Linked DNA regions of Drosophila melanogaster. The protein of the gene in region 1 interacts with the protein of each later gene in a biochemical or structural test. Each region holds a gene or a part of one and is shown on either strand. Other genes may lie near its edges. The genes, in order: Ubx, CycK, otu and TfIIEbeta.

Region 1 (4,795 bases):
GCCAGCTTGAGTGCAGTTTACGTTCGATCTTCGAGCACCTAGACCTCCTTCGGCTGACCTACTCTTGGCTTTGTTCTTGGCCCAAACGGCAATCTCGGCCCAGACGCAAGCCGTTCGCCTCGCTCGGCTGGTGACTGAAACCCGTGGAAAAGTCGAGCGGTGAGGGGCTGAACGTAATTACATAATGGCGTAGTTAACCGTAATAAGCGCGACTTCTGCGCGCAGTGTGTGTCCTGAAAGGATTCTTGCCCTTTCTCGCCGACTCCTGTGGCTGCCTTTGCTGCCTTTTGCTATTTCTTGACTTCTCCGTTGCTATTTTGCAGCTCTTTTTAAGCCGCATGCCATAACTCACGCTGCTCGTTGCCGCTCTCTTGTTGCACAAATTGCAGCTCACTTGGGCTGCCAGCGCTGCAACAATTACCGCCGAGCATCATTAAAAGCAAAGGTGACAAAAATTAGTAAACAAAGTGTTGAAAATTATGAGGCAGACGTAGCGCTGCAAGGTGTCGCGGAGCGGAGCAGGTGAAATCGAAGGGTCTGAGCTGGTTTTTTTTATTTTTTTATTTTAGCTACTCATGGCTCTTCACTCGATTTAATCACTCTAAGCGAGATCACAGCCATAAAATCTCGCTTAGAGTGATTAAATCGCTGAAATTGGCGGCCAGCGAATAAACTATGGCCACGCAAATGGGTGCCTTTAAATAGAATTATTGGAAAATAATTTTGAGTTAGCCAAGGGGGTTTTTGCCTTTTTAACACTTAATAAATCTAAAATACTTGTCCTAATTTTTTTCCTCTGAAGAATATAATTTTACTATTTTTTATTAAAATTTTTAATTTTTTTACCAAGTATTATCACATCTTTTTTTCTAAACTTTTCAGCCAATTTGAATATACACAATATTAACTAGGACTGTTTTTTGGCTTCCTATAACCATAATACATTCTTAGTTTTTGTTTTTTTTAAATCGCTTAAAGTTTTTGATTGCCAATAAGGTGTTGTGTCTTTTCCCTAAGAACCTGCCATAAAAAGGTCTGTTCTGCCTGCTTTCATATGTCTTACATTACAAGTTGTTATCTGTTTTTCCCATGATCGATTCGAGCTCTTCATTATATTGCCTTACATGTTGACTTGTCTGTTAATTGGAGCAGAGACGGCAATTAATCACAGGATGACTTTTGTTGCCATAGCTGCAATCTGTTGAGCTTGATAACAACTGGGAAAACAACAAAGCTTTGGCACTGCAGGGATGAGGACAGAAGGGATGGGATTTCGGGGGACTTTCAGTGGACTTGTGCTGCAGTGGACACTCACTTTTGGTCGGATCTTCAGGACACTCACCTGCGATAGCCATCCAGGGGTAGAATGTGTGATTGCTGGCCTGGTGTAAACTGCTGGCGGCCGCCGTTTGGGCAGCGGCGCCCGAGATGGTGCAATTGGCATTCCAGGCAGTGCCCGCTCCGGCCACGCCCACGCCGCTCTGTACGCCTCCGGCGTTGCCGTTGCCGCCGCTGACACTCACATTACCGCCGGCACTGCCGCCGCGATGGCTAACGGGACTGCCGCCCGACGTGTCCAAATAGCCGCCCACTCGGGAATCTGGGGTGCAGGCGGAGGGTCTAACGGGCATACCGCCCGCCGGATTGTTCTGTCCGTTTGCATTGGCCGCATTACCGCCATTGGCATTGCCGGCTCCACCTGTTCCGCCCGCTCCGCCGCCACCACCGCCTCCGCCGCCACCCCCGCCGCCATTCGAGCCGCCCGTGTTCCAAATGTCTTTGTAGCCATTCACCGCATCCGCCTTGATGTTCAGGCAGTCCTGTTTGTAGGCTCCGGCTCCATCGCCGTATATCTTGTTGCAGGCGGCCGTGATGCTGGCATCGTAGGGCGAGTCCTGGGTGGTGCGCTGCAGATGGTGGTTGGCATAGGGACTCATGCCCAGCGAGAGAGGGAATCCTCTGTACGCGGCCGCCGCTGCACTGGCCGTCTGGTCGTGGTGGCCACCGCTGCCCATTGCCATTCCGGTGGCCTGGTGCGGATGGCCATAAAAGCCGGAGGCCTGTTCAAAGTACGAGTTCATTGCGCTGCTGGCGGTAAGAATCTTGGCGGTGCTCCGTCTGAGACGGGCTAAAAGTCGTTGGGGGCTTGACCGATTTCACACGAATTGGTTTCCAGGGATCTGCGATTTTTGGCGGATTTTATTTGAGTGTTTCCTCGCTTTCTGTGCTGTTCCTTTGCCTCCTTTGGATTTAAACAAATTTTGTTAAACTCTTTTTAAAATTTATTTTATATTTTCACTCCAAGTCTTTGTTGATTAAGTTTGGTTTTATATAGTTAAATATGTCTTATTATTTGTAAAATATTCTTGAAATTTTTTCTCCTTTGTTTTAGCACCAATTTGAATTTTCTTTGTTTCAGAGTAACCAATTTGTTTTTCACTTATTTAAATATTTATAAAATATTTTTCTGTTTGGTAAATATTTATTTCAAAAGTTATTCTTTTTATTGCACTCTCCACGCGGGTCGTTTTAAATTTATTTAAGCACTAATGTTTATTGAGACTTCAATCTTAATAATCTTTAAATTTTTTTCCACAATTGTTTGTACGGTTTCACAAGTGTTTCGTATACTTTGTTGCGTTTTGGTTTCGGTTTTTAGCCAATTGCACTTTGCTGTTAATTGAATTCGAATTTGAATACTTGGATTGCGCTTGCCTTGGCACTATCAAAGGCTCGTAAGCGTTACGATTATTACTATGTTTATTGTTATTGCAATTATTATTATTATTTTTATGGTTTTAACGATTTGAACGATTATTAGCCATAGTGCTGACCGAACGGGCGCGAATGCGTCTGCTGACGGATTTCCTCGAATCTGGACGCCAATCTAGTGGAAAGCGACTTTTCCGCGCGGCATTCACGGGCGGACGCGTGGGCGAGCGGTAAAGCGCTGAGGGCCAATAATAACAATAATGCCGCTGATAATGTGGATAATAAAACAAAGCGCGCGCCTGTTATCCAATCCGTTGCCATCGAACGAATGTGGCACCAAATCGCAGTTGCCAGTGTTTTGACTTTGCTCTGCCGACTCAACTCACTCGACTCGGCCTAAAAACGAGTGGAAAACAGAAACAGAGAGCCAGCGAAACGCTCAAAACCAGATTGTTTTTGAGCGCTCTTGCGCTCTCTCTTGAGTGTTCGTTCAGTTTAAGTTTATCGGGGTGGGCGCCTCTCGTTCATTCATTCGCGAGGAAGGAAAATGCGCTCGCCGCGGGAAATTCATCATGGAGGAGGGCTGATTTTCCTTCAACTGAGTGGCGAAAAACGCTCGACGGGCTGCCCGCCAGTTGCCAGTTGCACGCCAAACGATGCGCATCCCGTATTTGCTCGGTTTTAGCGCACTTATGACTACAGTTTCAGTTCCCAATCTTTGTGCTAGAATATGGCTTACGCAAATTATTTGTATCTAATTCTATTCAGTTTAAGCTGGTCATTATTTAATTGTTCAATATTTTGGGGAATAATTTGCACACAACGAAGTGCAAAAAAGTTTTTGTTTTAAAAAATATATTTATTAGAATAGTCGGAATATTGTAATTATTAATTTAATTTCTATGGAAGTAAATATCGTATAAATTGTTTCACAATTTAGAAAAATATTAGTAAATTAATCGTTTTTACCTTTACCTCAAAAACTATAAGCTTAATTCAATGTGGTATGGCATAAAAAGATACTTATCACTTAAAGGCTTTATTAGGCCTTTAAAAACGAATTATAATATATTAATGAAGACATTATTTTTTATTTATTAAAAGTCTCGTGTTTAGCATTAGTTTATTGATAATAAGTCAACCCCAACTCGGCATTGTACGGTAATAGAAGCCAGGGATCCGGAAAATTTGTGTGCTGCGGTTTTCCTTTTCCTATTCAAATTCAAATTCGCATTCGAATCCAAATGTTCAATCCGTTCGCCAATACTTTCAATGGGATATTAATGTCAATGTAAATATGGTGGGAATTGATGCTAATAAATTCATATGCATAATGCAAATAGATCGGGGTCTTGCAGACCGAGAACGCCGCGCCATTCGCGAAAGTTTCGCAAATATTTGTCAAAGTTTCCACATTCGCACAAACGGCTCGTAGATTAAGCCAGAAACCGACGGCGACCAAACAAAGTTGCTTGCCACAAGTGTTTGCAAAATAAACTTATTATAAGAAGAAATTTACTTTTCTACTTTTCCAACCCCTGCTCGCGCCATTTTCCGCCGACCAAATTTTCGGTGCCAAGTCTTAAAAATCAACAACAAGCGAAAGATACAAAAACTTGCACAAAACACAGATACGCACCACCACATACACACACACACACACACACTGACAAACACTTGAATCACATTCGGAGACGCGGCGACATTTTCTAAATATGCGACCAAAAGCCCAAGGAAAAGCGAAGCCAAAAGGCGAGAAGACCCAGAGCAAAGCAAAAGTAAAGTAAAAATCGCAGTCGCAACTGCAAACTAAATATCGTGAGTCGGGAATCCAGGACCCAGAAACTCGCTATCCCGCATTTGGGACCCAGGGGAAGGACACGAGTGCGAAGGACTCGCGGGGATGACAGAGAAATAGCCTCATAACCATTTGAAGCCATTCGAAGGCGCATAAAAGGATCACAACAATCGCCGAAATGAGCCATAATGAGCTCGTAAAAATTTTGCTACCTAATATACTCGGGAATCTTACGGGTACGAGTATATTCAAACTTGCTACGTTATGGTGGGGTATGCAATGGGG
Region 2 (7,982 bases), on another chromosome or scaffold:
ATTAATGCACAAACAATAAAATTGAATGCATACTAACTTTTCTTATGCTTAAAATATTACAAATGTGTGTATATTATTAGTTTAAGTTTCAAATTAGTGAGTAAATGAATTTTTCACATTTCTTTATCTTTAAGTCATTTTTGAAAGGCAGGTGGTAATTGTGAGCCTGCACTAGTTTTAGGAGATAATAATTACGTGTTTATTTTAAACAAAATCGGAAGGTACTAGTCAGTAAGCATTAATTATTATTTTTTAAATAAGGCAAATATGTATATTTTAAAATATGAAATACATGTATGTATGTCCGTATAAATAAAACCGTGAAATCAAATGTCGATTAAGTCATTTGACATAGCCAAGCCAGGAAATTTGCGGCTGATCCAAAAATATCTACCTGAGTGTAGCATAGGTGGGATAAATTTGGGCAATACGACCAAGATCGTCATCGTTCTCCAATTGGGAATCCTTCCGTGTACGCCGAACTGGTAGGCTGGGCATCGCTTAGCTTCGAACCCAATTACGAATATAGCAAATTTATACGCGGTATTTGTAGCTTTCCCAGGATAACAACACAATCCGCATAGACGGAATCTGCGATCAGGGGTGATCAAACGTTAGAATTTGCACAACATTTGGGTTTGTTTACCTTTTTGAAGTTCGAGATCGTAATTGCTTGTCTTGTGAGACGTAGATAGTTTTCAACGTTGGGGGTACTCCGGCCTTGGTTGTTAACCGCAACCAAATACTTAGCATGCAATTGGCGCAGTCGAATGACGGAAATTCACATTCCCTAAGTGCTCGTTAAATAGAAGTTAAAATACTAGAATTGTATACATATACTGAATCACTTGGTGAAAGAAATATAAAATGTTTGTTATCACTGATAAATTTTAATATACATTTTTAAATTCAATCAAAGTCAATTCCATATTATCTGTACTTCATTAAAAAATATAATATTATTAAAACAATACGATCCCCACCGGCGTTGTATATTTTCACCGATTTTACGTGTTTCATTCATTCTTGAGTTTCCCCTGATACGTGTCTGCGTGCTGCTGGATGTTCTTTGAGTTTTGTAAAATTTTATTTAAGTCAATGATCACTTGAGCGGTAAGGTTTGAAAATATGTTCACTAGCCTAAGTGCATGATTCAAAGAAAAATATACATAACATTTTCTACGTTAAAAAGAAGCATCTCGACTGATTTGGTTGTTTCGCTCTATCAAGCTCACGTTTCGGTTTTCCATTATTATGTAATTTGAGTGATATATATCGATTTTTAAGAATTTAACACACATTATAGAAACATAAAAAATATAGAAACATAATAAAATTATAGTGCCATCACTCGCGTTTATATTAATAATAAAAGAAAGAATACTATAGTCGAGTTCCAAGGCTATCAAATAACCGTTACCAGCTAGTGTGAATACAAACGCGAAATTGCATCAATTTTATGGAATATCGATAGATAATGGGATATAAAATGATAAAAAATTTCAAAATTGTTCCAAAGTGTGGCATTAGGGCGTTAGAGTGCGCGTGGCAAAAATTTTATTGACAAATCGATAGAAATTAAAAAGACTAATTAAATTATAGTCAGATCGACTAGGATATTGGTCCTGATCAAGAATATATATACCTTAAATGGTCGGAATACGAAAATACGACTAACGGTTATAATAAATTCATCACCACATTACTAGAAGTAATTACTATTAAATAGAAAGCGCTTACACTGCTCATAATCTTGTTATTACATTTTATAATGTTTAACGAATGCTATCTATGCTTTAAATTGAAATACTTGTTATCCAGTAGGATTATACATAATGAATTATTTCAATATACCATTTAACAACAAAACAAATTGCGCAATTCCCATCACTAATCCCTATGCTTGGTTTGATATCTCCAAAACATGGAAATGCGATTCCAGTGTAAACATCCCATTTGTTCCTCGTAACAGTCAAAGGACGGCCAAAACCACGTGTAAATATATCTGTTTAATTATATCCCAAAATTAAGTCACCAAAACTAGCAAACGCACAAAAAATATTCAGTTTGACCCGCAAGAGATCGAAAATTTTTGCGTTATCTATTTACCAATAAAGTTGTTCCATATACTCAAAATCGTCGTGGTCTTGGTGTAAAAGGGGCTTCCAATAAAGTTTTTTTCTTCATCGTCGTAGACATGGTAACACTGCAAGTGAACATAAAAATCGAAAACTGATTTATTTACAATAAACAAAAGCGCTTATCGGCTCCAGGACGCGCATATGCTGACAACCATTTGGCTAAAGGTTTAACACAAATTCCTTCCAACGACGCGGACTACTGGTAGTACCCGCAGCCTAAATTGCCGCGATGCCGTGCTGGTATTACGACAAAAAGGAGCTGCGGGAGACGCCCTCGATCTTGGATGGAATAAGCTTCGAAACGGAGCGGCGGTACAGAAAAGAAGGTGCTCGATTTATTATGGAATGTGGCACCAAAATGGGCTTGGGCCACAACACGATGGCCACCGGCGTTGTATATTTTCACCGATTTTACATGTTTCATTCGTTCCGGAGTTTCCCCCGGTACGTGACTGCGTGCTGCTGCCTGTTCTTTGCTGGCAAGGTGGAGGAGACGCCAAAGAAGTGTCGCGACATTATTAAAACTGCGCGTGGCATCCTTACCGACAATTACTTCTACTCGTTTGGCGACGACCCTAAGGAGGAGGTGATGACGCTAGAGCGTATTCTGCTGCAGACCATCAAATTCGATTTGCAAGTAGAGCATCCTTACACCTTTCTCCTAAAGTACGCTAAGTGTTTCAAAGGCGACCAGCAGAAGCTGCAAAAGATGGTGCAAATGGCGTGGAACTTCGTCAACGACTCTCTCAGCACAGTAGTTTGTCTACAGTGGGAGCCGGAGATTATCGCCGTGGCTCTTATCCATTTGGCCAGCAAGCTAAGCAAATTCACTGTGCAAGACTGGGAGGGCCGCCAGCCACAGCAGCAGCGTTGGTGGGATATGTTTGTGTCTGATGTAACGATGGAAATACTCGAAGACATCTGCCACCAAGTTCTGGACCTGTACCAATCAACCCAAAAAGAAGCGCTCCAGCCAACCAGTCCGCCCCAAAAGCCACCAAGCAGAGCCGACAGTCCAAAATCCGGCAAGCTTACCAATTCTACGGGTATTGGACCACTTTCCGTTCCACAACAGCCGCCGCCCCCCGTATGTGGCAACGGTGGCGTGCTGGAAGTTAGCAACATTCAGAGCATTAAATCCCTAGCCAGTGGCGTGCCAATCATTGGTCCTAGCGACTCCCAGAACCTGTTACAGGGCCCAACACCACCAGGTCAGCCATCCGGGTACCACATTTATCATGCTCCTCCACCGCCGCCCCCGCCGGTAGTGCCTATGCCGCCGTACCCCTCTTCCGGATGGGGAGTCCAGCAGACAGTGGTCGGACACTATAGCGGGAGCGCTGCACCACCACCACCAATGCCGCCTAGCTTGCCTCCAGGAGCCAGTGGATACTACAACGCCGGTGGGCGTCCATCGCAGCAGCGCTACTAGTAGATGCAATGACTAATAAACAAGTAAAAAAAATTTGTATATTAAAACTAGCGAACCGTTCGGAATAGGATTTAGAGCGGGGATCTTCGTACGGTTCGGTTTTCTTTTTTGGTTACACTCTAGGCCCAATATTGTCCCGGGGTATTTATCAATGATTTTTATTCCCTTATTTTAAGTCCTTACCCTTTCACATGTACTTGTTAGCAGAATTTTGCTGAAATGATGTTTCCAAAACTGAATAAAACCAAATGAACTAGAAAAAAATATTTTGGACATTGGGGCACTAACAAAAATAGATTCTTATTAAAATTGGCGAAACGTTGAGACAAAGCGGAATTGGAGTAACGGCGAAGTTTATAACAGTGGAAGATAAACATGAGAAATATGTGAGAACAATTTTTCAAAAGTGTGGGCGTGGCAGTTTTGGGGGTTTTGTATGTAAAAGGAGGGGCGTGGCCAGTGTTTTTGGTATGCAGATAAAAATTGGCAAGTCAAACAATAAAACGAAGAAAAATCTAAAAATTTTTAAATAGTGTGGCGCTATGTGTCTCCGCAAACTGTATGCTTAATCTCAACCATCTAGCTTTTATAGTTCATGAGATCTCGACGTTCATACGGACAGACGGACAGTCGGAAAGTCAGATATGGCCAGATCGACTCGACTATTGATCCTGATCAAGAATATATATACTTTATATGGTCGGAAACGCTTCCTTCTGCCTGTTACATACATACTTACAACGAATCTTGCACCTTTTACTCTACGATTAATGGGTATAATAACTCTTTAGATGTTTGAATAATTTTTGGAATGATACATAGTGTGCGAAGATTGCTCGGCTATCAGAAACAACAGTGCAGTTTTGCAGTTTCCATGGACTTTATTCTTGCCCATGGTACACTTGGAATAATAACGACTGCCCAGGCTACCTCGATTCGTATGTTTATTATAAATATAATTATGTCGTAGGCCAACGGTTTCGTTTTCCAGGCTAAAGACGAAAATGTTCGAAAATAATATTATTGACTTTGTTCGATGTTCTTCAATTTAATTTAATTTTTAAATGGTGTTAAAAATAATTAATTTCCTTTTATCTTTCAAATTTTATAAAGTCGATTTCTCTGAAACCAGGCTCTTTGATGTGATACTTACCGCGCTCTGCTTTCGAAACATCAACTACTTTGTCTCAGTTCGTTGACTTGCTTCGTTACAAACGTCTCGATCTTTTCGCTAAAAGATCTAGCTGACTTTTAGTTCTCCCGCGCTCTAGGTCCAAGGACCTCTATTTCACCAAAGACACTATGATAATTTTAGTAATTTATAAATTAACTAAACAAAATAATTTTAGTTTGGTATTATTCTAGTGTTGCTTTACCGTAAGTTGGCTATATTTAGACCAGGTATTCGGATACTTCATTTTTATAACAATTGCAAATATAGTGGTAAAACACGAAAAAATTAACAAAATATTTTTGCGGTTATACATAAATTTTTCAATGCAGAAATAATTTCTCAGAAATAATAAAATATTATATAAATATCAATATGAAGAATATGAATAAGCTTTAGAGTATTACTTATTGCCGTTTTATCAAGGGCTAAATAACACATCTAAATAAATAGTGCAATAGGAAAAGGAAAGTTTTATATTATATATTAAGGTTTAAAGCTAGGGCATAATCTATTAGACTAAAATTTACATTGTGTTCTGATCACTACCCACTTATTGCCATATATGTTGCAGGAAAGGTCTTCCGTTGATGTTTTTCGCCAGAATGCTATGGTACTTCCAATGAAGCTGAGTTTTTGTCAAGGGATCTACACGTTTGTCGACCTTGTGAAAGACAAAAGCCAGTTCTGACTGGATTAAAAGTTTGCATTTGTTTGTGCTCTACTAGTATGCCTGGCATACAGTTCTGTACAGTTCAAGTCTTCAAGTCGTTATGATATAGGACCACCTCTGTCGAAGGGAATAAATTAAGATCGTACTTGTCAATACTCCAACTAATTTTATTGAGTAAATCTAACAGTACTTAAGAGTAAGAGTTAAGATTCACATAATATGCTTATGCCAACAGAATTGTGTAAGACAACAAATTTTGGGTAAGTGGTAATGCTATATAGCCAACTGGACAGAACATGTTTATGCCAGTAAGTCGTTCACGACCTGAAAAACGATAGTCCGTGTTGGACTAACACTTTTACCTGAAAAATAACATTCTCCTGGCCGTTGAAGTGTTAAATAAGTAATTAAAGAAGATTGAATTTTAAATTTAAAACAGCAGAAATTCTTGATTTGTTTTTTAGTAGCCGGCTTACTAACTATACGCGTGACTCGTATAGAGAGAGTATACTAGATTCGTTGTAAAGTAACAGTGACATTCATACGTGCTAGAAACTAACTTGTGAGTTTTAAAGCAACACAAAAATTTGGACCAGCAAGAAATATGTCGTTCTATACGCAGGGAACTCTTAGTAGAAACTTATCAGCTAATTCAATGTAGTTATAAACCGCTTGCAAGATCCCTTTCTTATAAAAAGCATAGAGTATAATAAAATTCTGATTGTCTTAATTCGAATGTAGAGCCTTTTTCCTGTCTTTGAGCTGGCCCACCAATCCGAGAAATATTTTTTCCAATATATGTGTGGTGTGTATCTCATACTGTTTTGTTTTCAGACATGTATATATATATAACGCTAAAGTAAGATTAAAAACGAAAGGCGGGTAACAACGAAGACGAAAGAAGAATTCAGGAAGATGATGATCAACTGAGATGAGTTGAGTTAGAAAATGTTTTTTATTATATTATTTTTATTTATATTATCCAAAAATCTGCAGTAGCAATTATGTTGCGTCACGGCCCTTGAACGACGTGCAGAACACAGCCAGCCTTATGAGAAAAGTTTAAGCACTTGGATTGCAGTCGTTAAAAATTCTTGCTGTCAAACAATTAAAAAACTGTGACCTTATGTTACCCTTGCTGGCCATGTTTGTTTTAAATAGGCTTCTGTGTCACAATTATTTCTAACGCATGGCGCTCACTCGCTAGCAAAACAATCTAATGCAAAATTCGAATAACAAAACAAGAGAGAATGCTATATATTTCCCTTATATGACCGGAAAACTATGTACCTGTTACATATGTTTCAACGACTCTAGTATACCTTTCTACTCTACAAGTAACGGGTATAATTACATATGTATATGTACATATGTACATACATACATATGTATTACGTATTCCGTAAACAAATATGCACATTACAATATAAGGCGTTGATAGGCGAGGCAGATACATATATTTGTATTGATACCTGTATATTATGGCCTACATAGAAAACATTTTTGAGCTTTAAACACCAACTAAACTTTGAGTTTCTTTATTTTCTTTTTTTTTTAGAGCGGAGAGACTTTTGAACCCGACTTAAGCGGTGGGTCACGGCCATGCGATCACCTGATTTAATATGGAAGATGACTTATTAAAAAAAATTAAACAATAAAACTGGGCTAAGCACTTCTAGAGAGATGATGTGTATCCGGCTTAATGTGAAAATAAATGAGTGGTTGTGCAAATACGTCCTAACATTTGCGGGTTAGAGTCAGTACCCCACTCATGTAATACTGCGGGATCATTAAATATTCGGGCAGGGTGCGTTTACAAAAGGAGGTTGACGACGATGCCTGTGCTTGTGTGGATGCTGCTACTGTTGCCTGACGCACGATGTGACCAACCTTTCCTGAAAAAAATAGAATGTTATTTTGTAAAAAAAAATAACAATTTAATACAATTTGAAATGACTTGTATTCTGCGTTAACCTTACAAAAATTGTTACGCCCACTGGCTAAGTAACGGAAATCTGAAATTTGAATAAATCGACTATAAGATTCTCTCGTCATTAATTGACTTCCCTAAAGTTCTTAGGGTAGCAATTATGTAGTCTCACGGACTAGCCTAATTAAGGTCAAATTGCTTCCCTCTTGCGTATATTGGCAAAATTTCATTAGTTTACAATTAAAGAAAAGAACTTGTTTAGTGTCTCTGTGTCAGGGGTAACAATACTTACTAATCCATATATATATATTTGTATATCTATCGATATTCCAGAAAAATTATGAAATTTCGCGATCGCATTTCTACTAGCTGAGTAACGGGTATCTTAAAATCGGCGAAGCCGACTATAGCGTTCTATTTTATGATTAGAAAACATTTTTCTTACTGAATATGTAAATATGTAATATATCAATACCGAGTAAAACTTTTATATACAAACTATGAAAAAACAACTCTATAGAACATCTTACCCATCACGTTTGCGCAATGAAAGCGGTCATCTAGTTGCTGAAGGAGGGAAAGATCTCGACAACGTGCCCAGGCATTAAGTATGTCCCTTACATTTATAGGCACCC
Region 3 (6,991 bases), on another chromosome or scaffold:
TTTTAACATGGGTTAGTTTTAGCAGGATAATGTTGACAGCTCAAAACATTTTCAATGTACTACATACTAAAGTAATCGTGATTGATTGAACTAATGAACCTTATAAATTTTCTAATATCTAATTTTCTTAGTTGTAAATACTTTTTGTTGTTTTTTTTTTCTTAGTTAGTATGCACTAATTTGATGTAATATGCTACAATATAAACCCATGCATTAAAAAACTATCTGCTTATCAAAAATAACAGCGTTTTCTAAAACTAACATAGACAAACAAATTATGACACAAATAAAGACAGTACATACAATAATAACAAACTTTTACAATGAAACTAAAGGATTACATCAGAGTTCTTTATCGTTTCGAAGATCAGCGTCGATGTGATGTGACGAGGTGAATCAAAGTAATCCAAGCCAATCCACACCTTTTGTTTGCTATCTGAAATCGCGCCGAAACACGAGAATACCACGTAATTGCAGCACCTGCAAAAGTCTTTTGTACATTTTGTCTCTTGCGCTGCAGTTGAATCTTGTTTTATTTATGGTTAATTTTTGATGGTACACTTTACATAGGTGAGTCTCTAGCCGAACAGCGAGCACATAAATATATATATATATATATATGTATATATATAGTAGATAGTATGTAGATATTTTTGGTTAGAAGGGTTTTAAATAAATCATATAAATAGGTGGTTCTTTGATTTCGTGACGGCTAACTTTAAAAAAATTCGCATAAAATTACGTTAAATTACATTTTTAAAATGAAGTTGGGTTGACATTTGCGTTAGGTTATGCAATCGATTGTTGTACAGAAGCTGAATGGTTTATGATAGAGCGCCAACGCTTATGGCCTATAAAAAGTTAACTACAAATTTAAAAGTGAGATTAAATTTTAAAAGCCGTTAATTGCAATGGAATGTAATGCCTTCGATCTGTATGGCCTCTCTCTTTCAAGTGATCTGTTTTTTGCCCCCGCTCCCTTTTTTTTTTCTTTCTTTGTTTAGTGATGACGCGTTGCAGCATAGACAGCTGCCGGCTGAGATTGGACAGATAAGGGAGCTGGTTGCAAGGTGGCTGGCTGCTGTTGTTGTGGCTGAGCCGACGGGTCCATGTTATAGTTGTTGATCACCTCATAGGGGGACACCACCGGAGCTGGCATGCCCCAGGCGTAGGGAGTCTAAAAATGGTCGAGTGTCGATTGCCTATAGAATATTTTGAATTTGTTAGTGCATGTATCACTCCTACCTGTCCTTGAGCTGCTCCCCCTAGCTGTGGTGGTCCCGCCTTGTGGTAGAATATCGGTGGCGGTGGCGGCGGTTGGAGCAACCTCGGCGGTGTTATCAGGTGATGATGCGGCGATGGAGTAGTATAGAAACTAAACTGACTGCCATTCGAGCTTGGCGATGGCGTTGGAGTGGGCAAAAATGCCGCTGGCCCCAGCGAATCCTTAATATCTTGCAGCTGCTCCGGACGTTTGCCGCGCACCTTAACCGAATTCAAATTGCGCTTGGCGTAGGCACTTTTCTCAAGCGGTGACTGCTCTGTGGCATTTGCCACCTCTGGCGAAGGTGGTGGTGTTGACTCCACGGCAGTCAAATTGTCCTCTGTGGCGCCAATGACTACAGTCCGTCCTGCCTGTTGATCAGTGTTGTTCTGCTGATGGTATCCAAACATTCCTAGTTCATCAGGCGGCGTGTGGTGCGACATGCGCCAATGCAAATCCACGCCCATGTTGTAGAAGTATCTCAAAGTCACCATATCCACGGGCAAATCTTCACCGTTTGGGTGTAGAGAACGACGTGGCTCGCCAATTCCGGTAACATTTAGCGGTGGAGAAGGAAGCGGCATAAATGGATGCGGTCCCGATAAAGCAACAGCTCCCGGTGGTGGTGGACCATAACCACCGAATGGCATGTATACACAACCTTCGGTTGGCGGTGGATGCGGGGTTCCTGAAATGGGGAACGGAAACTCCTCGGCAATAGCCATCGGAGATGCAGGCCAAGGTGGCGGTAAATGCCCAGGACGACTCGGTATCATTGGCACGTAATTCATATACTGAGTGGGTGGCGGGGCAGCCGAACCCGAAACCTCCTGGTTTTGGCTGGAACTCGAGTTCTGCGGCTGAACCCTTGATGCCTTCGTGCGCTGGTGTTGCTTCTGTGCCTGCGGTTCTTCACGATCCCGCTGCTCCGTAGTCGGGTTCTGGTCATTTTGTTCAGGATCATTATGATCCCGCTGCTCATCGTCCTGAATGTGCACACCCTGATAGCAATTGTCCACGGGCATGTAGGGCATCAAATCACACTTGCTGTGCTCAAAATACTGGTCCATTTCGAACAGCTTGTTCTTCTTCCATTTGGAAGACTTGTTGGCCTTACCGGCATACTTGGGCAACGGCAAGCGAGGCATCTGGCGATGATAGCGGAATGGCAACGACCATGGGCGGTACTCATCTGGCGGCAGGGGATGGAGCGATTCATACGGGACCTAAGCCAACAGATATGTTTGTATATTAGTAAGCTCTCTATTAAAGCGAAATAGTTACAATTAGCTTCGGATACCGAACATTTTTAGCCCTTGCAGATCAATTATTTTATAGACTTATATACCAGTTCATTGGGCCACAATTAATATACTTTTAACTAAACTTTAACAAATTTAACTAATTGTTAAATATGATAATCGTTTCTAATCGAAATTTTTGCATTTCTCTGCAAGGGTCTAGAAAATCAGATAAAAAGAAGAGGTACCACTATCTCTTTGCCAATCCTCTCAACAAAGACGTGGCAGTAATTCTTATCTTTGGAGATATTTTGAACGTGGCACGTGTACATCTCCGTTTCGTTCGGCAATTCCACCTTGCACTTGGCGCCCACCTGGAAAACAAATAACACGGCGACGAGACGAGGAAGGATAAGGCAAGACATACATGTATAGTAAAGTATAAGGTGTATCCAGTGTATAGATGAAAATGAAAGGGTGTTAATTTGGATGGGTGGTTGACATGAAACGTGTGTTGGTGTGCGTGTGTATGTGTGCTAACGATAATCCAATGTTCTGCACAGTTTACCTTAAAGTTATAGTCATTTATGTAGACATTATAAAGCTTGGCCTCCTTGCGCATATCGTTCCAGCAATCAAATTCTATATTACGATACATATAGGGGTCCATGGACTTGGCCACTTTGTAGGGAAACGGAGAGATACCTAAAAAGAGAGTATTATGTAAGCATTTGATGTTTGAAACCACCTCTACTGACCATCATCTAGCAGCTGGCGGACACAGGACTCCAATCGGTTTGGACACATGGGCAACAGATCGTTTGGTTCGTGGCCACTGCTGCCGGATGCCTTTCGCTCCTCCTGGTTTTTAATCTCCAGCCGGCCTCCCTTTCGAGCATTAATGCTCTGATTTCCATTGGTGCTATGGAAATTGCACAGCTTATAGTTTTCCAGTATGCAGTTTGTGTCCCCTGGCAGATCAAGCTTAAAAACTCGTCCATCGGTGCAATGAATGCGAACCATATAGCCCTTGTCATCGAACTCCACATTGAAGCGATCCCAATTGAAGGTGTGTGGATGCAACATAATCTCCACAGCAAAGGATACGTCAGGCAATTTGAAAAGCTTCTGGTACAGCAACTTAAAGGCGATTGCTGAAAGCAACGTACATATACAAAAAGCAAAATTGGATATATTAATAGGCTACGTACATTGACAAATGGCGGCTCTTTCTATATATTCAACGTCATAAACCGAATCAAAGTGATTCTCATTGTTGAAGAAGACACGGAAGTTTTCCGCATAGCGACGATTAAAAACGACGCTGGTGCCCATGTTGTAGGGCTCATACAGGATAACATTGCGGCTGGAAGTCGTACAGAAATCATATATATTTGTAGAATTTAATAGAAAATAGTAACTAAGGATTAATTACCGATATAGGCAGGACATAGCGCGTAGTTCTGTCATGGTTCCATATGTCTTGGGCTTGGACATGTCCTGCATGTAGCTATCGAAATCGCCAGGAATTTCCTGGGATATAAATAAAATTATTTCTTTTTTTTTTACAAAATGTGTGATTGTTAGAGGCCTACCTTCTCAAAGATGCGTCGTTTTAGGGTCATGAAGCGGACGCACTCTAGCCGAATCTCGTAGTGCAGCATCTGGGTGTCGTACATCTGCTCGGCGATCACACGGAACAAACTGGAGGCGTCCCGGGCCGTGTGCTTACGGTAGAGTCCACGGCTCTCCAGATACTGATCATACGGATCCGGGGCCTGCCGGCTGCCTGACGTAATGGGGCGCTGCACTTGCATGTCCATGGCGACTCTGGAATCGAGAAACTTAAATTTTATTCATTTCATTTTTTTTTTGTCATGTTTTCCCTTTGAAATACAAGTATTGCACAATTAACAGTTAGAAGAGGGCCCTGACCTCGATCTATTTGACCTTCACAATCACTTTTCAACTGCTATCTATTGTCGTTTCACTAAGAAGTGCGCATACTAAGCTTTATTACTTATTTTATGTTAACTATTGTATAGTTTTTTTAACTTTAATAGTTTTAAAGCAAATTTGCTGCAATACAAATATATTCCAATTATTAACCGACTCCATACAAGCCGGGCTTCAGAGCGAGATGACAATATGCACCTGCGAATTCAAGATGGCGCAGTAGAAAGGCAAATGAAGCAAAAGAGCAAAATTAAATGTGATGAAGCTGATGAAAATTAAATATTTGTTTAAAATTTAATGATTTAAAAGCCTCTCATGCTGCGCTTAATTAGTTAATTTCGTCACTTGACAAATTACCGTTACTATAAATGTTTCAACTAATACAGTTAAAATCGAATCGAGATATTACCGGTGTTCTGCTGTTCGTCTTCTGTTGTACAAATTCTATTTTTATAAATAGTTAACAATTAAATTAACAATTAAAAATAACACTGGCATCCGCACCTAGCACCGTTACACGAAGAATTGAAGCGAATGGCGCGATCTAGCCTTTCAGAGAACCCGCGAACTAGAATGCGAACGAAAAGTATAAGAACGAACTTCCAGTGCCTGGAAGGATGCCGACAAACGAAATTGGGCAATAGTGATGTGCGGAAATGAATCAATGGAGTTGGTTCGTGATTTTATCAACAAAATAAATATATCTGATCTTGTTGAATACTTTCTAAATGAAATACACAAGTGTATGATATACTTGAAATATATTGCTGAGCGGTTAAAAAACTCCTGTTATCGCCGTCTATCGATGACACCGATAGCGGCATCATCTGTTCCGTGTCATCCCCAAAAGTTTCTGTTACCTTCAAATTGTTCTTGTTACTGTCGTTGCTGTTGTTGCTGGCCCGCTTTTTAGGGGGTGGAAAATGCCGCTTTCCACACGGCGCACTGTTGTTCTTGTTCATCAGACTCAGTTCGAAATTGCGAGTCAATGAAGCCAGGAGCAAACTTTCAGTTCGCGCTGTTACCGCGACAAAAGTTGTCTGGAAGAGATGTGAGTGTGTGACTGTGTGTGCCTTTTGTTTTCCTGTTTTTTTTTTGTGTTTTTTGTGTTCTCGTGTAAAGTTATGTTTTTGTTTATTGTTAGTAAATGTCGTTAGTTGGTTATCTTGCGAGTGTGCAAAACGCAACGACTATGAATTCTATTTCCTCTCGGTGTTTCATCAACTTTACGCCATGTTCATCTGTTTCGTTTTCCTCCTCCTTCCATCGAATAATAATAACAAAGAGTTTTACATATGAAAATCACAGTCATTAACAAAAACAACACACGTGGACTCAACCACACACAACAATGGACATTTGTACATGCGATACACACATGCAAATAAACAACGTTATGAAATTGGAAGGAGTGCACAAAAGGAAGAAGTAGAAATGTGCGGTTATTTCATATCCAAGCAATGCCGTAAAAATCAATAGGAGCGACAAACAAAGCACGTGCTTGTGCGAGTGCGATGGCAAATCGATAAACCGTTAATCAAGTTTGTTGAACGCGTGTTCGCCCCGTCTCTCTCTCGCCTTGTTTGCGCCACCTCTCTTTCCCACACACGGCCCAACGAAATAATATTTCTTTGATTCCTTTTCGTTAATTCCACGATTTTCGATTAACTGGGTCAAATGGTGACATAGATATGATGTTCTTTTTTTTTGGGTGGTATTTCATTTTCCAGGTGCCGAGGTCAATGTCACGGACATTTCTGCAATGCCGTCTGCTGACCTTCGAACTTTGGTTCGTTTTTGTCAGCAATTAATTGATTAAATGATTCGGCCAATATATTGTCGGTCGTCTTATCAATATACCGATTATACAACTATCCTGTTCCCGCAACTATCTTATCACCAAAAACAAAATAAAGAAAATACAAAAATATAGGTCTCTTGAACCGGACTCGTCGGGCTCCCAGATAAGTGCTCCATTAGCTCCATCTCGCTTGCTCGCGGTTCTTGACATGTGTCCCTCAAACACGAATTAACGACTTAAACTCTTCATGTGATAAAAATCGACGTTCCTGTTTTCGAAAAACCATCACTTTGTTTTCCAAAATATAAAGGTCTTTAAAGCTTTATATCTGATATTGCATGGTATTTTATAACATCTAAATGTTGTTTTTATAAGTGGTTTCAAAATCTTGTGCTGTGTGATAATATTATATTAACGTAATTTCACAAATATGCGAAATGAAATGTTTGATGGTGTAGAAATACAAACAATACCAACCATCTTTGAAATAGCACAGTGAGTTTCTGAATTTGGGAACATCTCGAAAGTTGTCTTCTCTGCTTTTGTTGTTTTTTTTTTCTGATGCGATTGTTTGCCGGTCGGCGGCTAAGAATTTCCGTTTGCTGCTTTTAGTTGCCTTCGAACATTTTAGCTCGTCGCGTCTTTGCTGAAATAAAAAGGGGAAGTAAGAGGTAAAGCATACAGTCCAAACAAAACAAAGAGAATTTCGCTTGCCAAGAGAATCCGAAG
Region 4 (3,522 bases), on another chromosome or scaffold:
GAACGATAGTTTGCAATATGACTGATTTACGAGTCGTATGAGCTATATTTTTGTCTATACTGAATATCGGATCTCTTGTTATAATCTTAATAGATTACAAATAGCAACACAATCTTTTTTTAGATTTGTAGAGTCCAATATATAGATAATTTTCCTGATAAGCCCGCACAACCGCCGTACCAAAATATAGGTTATTCCAAATCGATTCCAACTGAACTTGGCTGCTGTTCAGTGCAGACTAAAGCTACGGCTTCCCTCTGTTGCCAATTTAACTGCCCACCAGCATCGATTCTGGCCCTCGTACACGCACACCACCAGCCATCAGGTGTGGAAAGCAATGGGGAATGTCAGGAAAAGATTACATAGTTTTGCTTTTTAATTATCTTTCCCTGTGCCGGTCGTCATATTTTTAAGTTCAATGCCACAGGCAGAACAGCAATCTGGTACTATAAATCTTGAGGAATGAGATTTCGGCCACAGCGGATTCTTAATTAGATTGGCAGTGGTTAAACAAATTTATAACATCCAGTTTCGAGTGTACTTAATTCCATTGAGAGTGGTTTTTATTTGTATAATCTAATGTCTCTATTCTACGTTGGGTTCACACCCTTCAGCGTTAGTGTGTTATCCTCGTAGACCTCCAGAACGTCGGCCAAATGTTCGTTGTCTCTGGGCTTCTTGAACTGCCGCTTCTTGTTGGCCGCCTTCTTGCGCTTGGGAATTGCTTTCTTGAGGCCATGGTCCTGCATGGAGCGAATGCCCTGCTTCTCGAGGTACTCGTCAATCTTGGCGTCGTCCATTGCATCGACCGTAGCCGAGCGCCATAGCTTCTGGAACTCGTCGTCCACCTGAGACGGTACAATTGATTAGGCTGGGATTTTAGAAGAGTGTGTTTATAACCCACCGAAAAATTAGCAGTCCTGTCATTGTAAAATAAAATCTTCTTTTTGTCAATGGGTCTAACAACAAAAAGTATTTCGGCTGATCGGTTCTTCAGCACCTTTTCGCAGTGTGGTAGAGATTCCTGGACATCGTCCAGCAAAATGCCGCCCAGGCCCTTTAAATCATGTTGCTTGAGCAGACGCATCAGCGTTTTGCCATCCTTGATCTTGTAGACTGGCTTGAAACTGAACTTGGTGCCACATGGACTGGCTTCCACCTTGGGATTGTTGTGCAGAGCCTCGCTAGCAAGCCACTAAAATAGAGGAATAATGGTTTAATAACCTGCCACAACTTATCACGCACTGTAGCTAACATTCTTAACGGATTGCCCAATGTCCAGCTGGTTGGTCTCGTCCAGAATCTCATCGATGGTCAGGGGATGGTCGTCGCCGTCCTGGTGACGTGTGCGCATGAATTTCACAATCTTGGCCAGCACTCCAAAGCGGTACTGGGAACTGCCGGACATGGTCTTGTATCTAAGTATGGAATGCAAGAGTTCCACATGGTTAAGAACCATTTCTGGCAGTAGCAGAGGCTCTCAAGGAACTTACGTTGTGGCATCCAGCCTGGGAGCATTGGGCGGGCGCATTTTGCGCCTGGAATCATCGCTAGGCGGCGGTGGAGCTGGTCTATCGGGCTTGGACTTCTTTTCCACGCTATTTTAAAAGGATAGCATGTAATTTTCGAGAAGCAATCTTTATCAGAGGGGCCACAAGTGCGGTACTCACGTGGGCGTGGCCATCGCCCGCTTTTTGAAGGCCTCGCGTTCGCGAAGCAGTGCTGGATCCATTTCGAATGTTTTTTTTTATTATTTAGCTCTACGAAAAAAAACTTTCTGCTGCGAGAAATCAACAATTTACAAAATCTAAACAATGCCTGCTCAGCTGTCCGTGGAACCGGAACTTACCAGGGCTGCGACACTGAAGTTGTACATTTCGGAACTGGTTCATTTAACGACCTTTCAAAAAGTCCATTCGCTTTTAAAAAAAAATTTATTATATATATATGGAAAATCTGCATAGCGAGAATTAATTTGTTTCCCATTTCGCTTCCAAAGAAAAAAAAAACATTATTCCATTTAAGTGTATTTATTGTTGGCCTTATACAGTAGAATATCGTTTATTTAAATCTAATATATGAAAAGAATAATTTTTCACGCTGTGGCTTAGCGTGAATTTACGAGACAGAGTTGATACTCTTAAGAAATTCATTGCGTTTGAATTTATTGCTTGGCTGAATCTCGTCGGAATAAGTTTGTAAGAGTTCAAGTTACACAGAGAGTTCGTTTCTGTATCACGGGTAGATTCAAAAGTCCCCTAAGCGGTATGAGTACACATATATACGACACTATGCATATATTGTGTATATAGCAAGAGCATTGCGGTTTCGTTGGCTCCGTTTAAAGGTCGTATGGGTTATGGGTCTTTCTACGAGTGCTCTGTACGAGACCCACTTGAGTTAGTCAATTGGTAGAGAGTAGTCAACGGGTGTGGTGATTTCGTTGGCCTGTTTGGTTTGTTCACCCGGGTATGGTCTTCGTTCGCAGTTTCCGTTTCCAGTCTGCGTTCTCCAGTCCCCGTGGTTCTGGTTCATGTGGCATTCCGTACGGAGAGTGTTGTTGTGGTGGTGGTTCTTGTTTGGTTATTGGTTGGTTGTTGCGTTGTTTGGTGGTTGGTGGTCAGTTCAACTGTTTTTATCGGACTGTATGCTCAAGTTAGTTACGTTTTCGTACATTGCGTTCTCTGTAAGTTCTTGGTTGTCAGTGGGTCTGTGGAGATAGAAAGATAAAAATGGTTTGGCTTATTATGTTCGCGCTCAGTGGGCGGCATGGGTATCGTGGACATCGATGGCCAACCGGTGCACAGGGCAAGTGCAGCAGGCGCACATTGTCTTAAATCGCTAAAAGGTTTTCGGTTTGGAATTTGCACAGCTACTTACCTCGTACCACGGCACACACTCAGTTCAATTATGGCTACATTAATAGATACGGAATTTATGCATACTCAACTAGCTACTTACACTCAGTTCCGTCTCAATCGCTTGCGACCGCCATCATCGCCGTCGGAGCCACTTCGCTCCTCAGCCTCCATGACCTAAAGTAAGATAAAAATTTAAAATTGATTAGAATTGCTTGCTTGTCAGCAACAGAACATGAGTACACGGTACAAACCTTGATTTTGGTGCCGCAAATTTCGGCTCCGTTTAGGGTACGAATGGCCAATTGAGCACTCTCAACCTCCGCATACTTGACGTAGCCACAGTTCTTGTTGGGCAGAAGGTAGACGTCGATCAGTCCCGACCAGCAAGAGAATATGTTCTTCAATATCGAATGCGGCAAGTTCTGAGTAGATGGGAAAGAAACAACGTTTATAGCTAATGGTAATTGGACACGGTACAGTGATACCTACCGCTGAGAGCACAATGAACAGTCGTTGGGCCACCTGGTCGTCCGGCGATGCCAGTGGCTGAGTTGGGGGCAAGGGAACATTGCAGATGGCATCCTTTTTGGTTCGCTCTAAAATAAAAAACCACATTAAGTCTAGAAATAGGAAATATCATGCATTTTAAGCCAAAAATGTG

What was found.
Region 2: the proteins of Ubx (region 1) and CycK form a complex in vitro, tested with the Drosophila melanogaster proteins (one study listed by BioGRID).
Region 3: the proteins of Ubx (region 1) and otu form a complex in vitro, tested with the Drosophila melanogaster proteins (one study listed by BioGRID).
Region 4: the proteins of Ubx (region 1) and TfIIEbeta form a complex in vitro, tested with the Drosophila melanogaster proteins (one study listed by BioGRID).

The regions. Positions count from the first base shown.
Region 1 is NT_033777.3:16,731,383-16,736,177, forward strand, and holds the start of Ubx (ultrabithorax), read right to left. Parts: upstream 3,045-4,795; 5' UTR 2,082-3,044; coding exon 1,316-2,081; intron 1-1,315. UniProt on the Drosophila melanogaster protein: Sequence-specific transcription factor which is part of a developmental regulatory system that provides cells with specific positional identities on the anterior-posterior axis. Binds the consensus region 5'-TTAAT[GT][GA]-3'.
Region 2 is NT_033779.5:22,124,112-22,132,093, reverse strand, and holds CycK (cyclin K), read left to right. Parts: upstream 1-1,951; 5' UTR 1,952-2,370; coding exon 2,371-3,573; 3' UTR 3,574-7,154; coding exon of another isoform or gene 7,155-7,312; 3' UTR 7,313-7,809; downstream 7,810-7,982. Other genes in the region: CG3651 (uncharacterized protein), read right to left, coding at 7,155-7,312, 7,878-7,982.
Region 3 is NC_004354.4:8,484,504-8,491,494, forward strand, and holds otu (ovarian tumor), read right to left. Parts: upstream 5,033-6,991; 5' UTR 4,871-5,032; exon of another isoform or gene 4,845-4,870; intron 4,620-4,844; exon of another isoform or gene 4,441-4,619; intron 4,350-4,440; 5' UTR 4,329-4,349; coding exon 4,101-4,328; intron 4,039-4,100; coding exon 3,941-4,038; intron 3,872-3,940; coding exon 3,717-3,871; intron 3,660-3,716; coding exon 3,264-3,659; intron 3,211-3,263; coding exon 3,074-3,210; intron 2,880-3,073; coding exon 2,754-2,879; intron 2,491-2,753; coding exon 1,246-2,490; intron 1,178-1,245; coding exon 1,001-1,177; 3' UTR 505-1,000; downstream 1-504. UniProt on the Drosophila melanogaster protein: Catalytic component of a deubiquitinase complex consisting of bam and otu. The complex deubiquitinates K63-linked polyubiquitinated proteins; this antagonizes the ubiquitination activity of Traf6 and regulates the IMD immune signaling pathway.
Region 4 is NT_037436.4:4,285,360-4,288,881, reverse strand, and holds TfIIEbeta (transcription factor IIEbeta), read right to left. Parts: upstream 1,845-3,522; 5' UTR 1,733-1,844; coding exon 1,671-1,732; exon of another isoform or gene 1,599-1,670; coding exon 1,494-1,598; intron 1,419-1,493; coding exon 1,256-1,418; intron 1,196-1,255; coding exon 905-1,195; intron 849-904; coding exon 591-848; 3' UTR 533-590; downstream 1-532. Other genes in the region: CG1316 (uncharacterized protein), read right to left, coding at 2,964-3,035, 3,113-3,283, 3,351-3,457.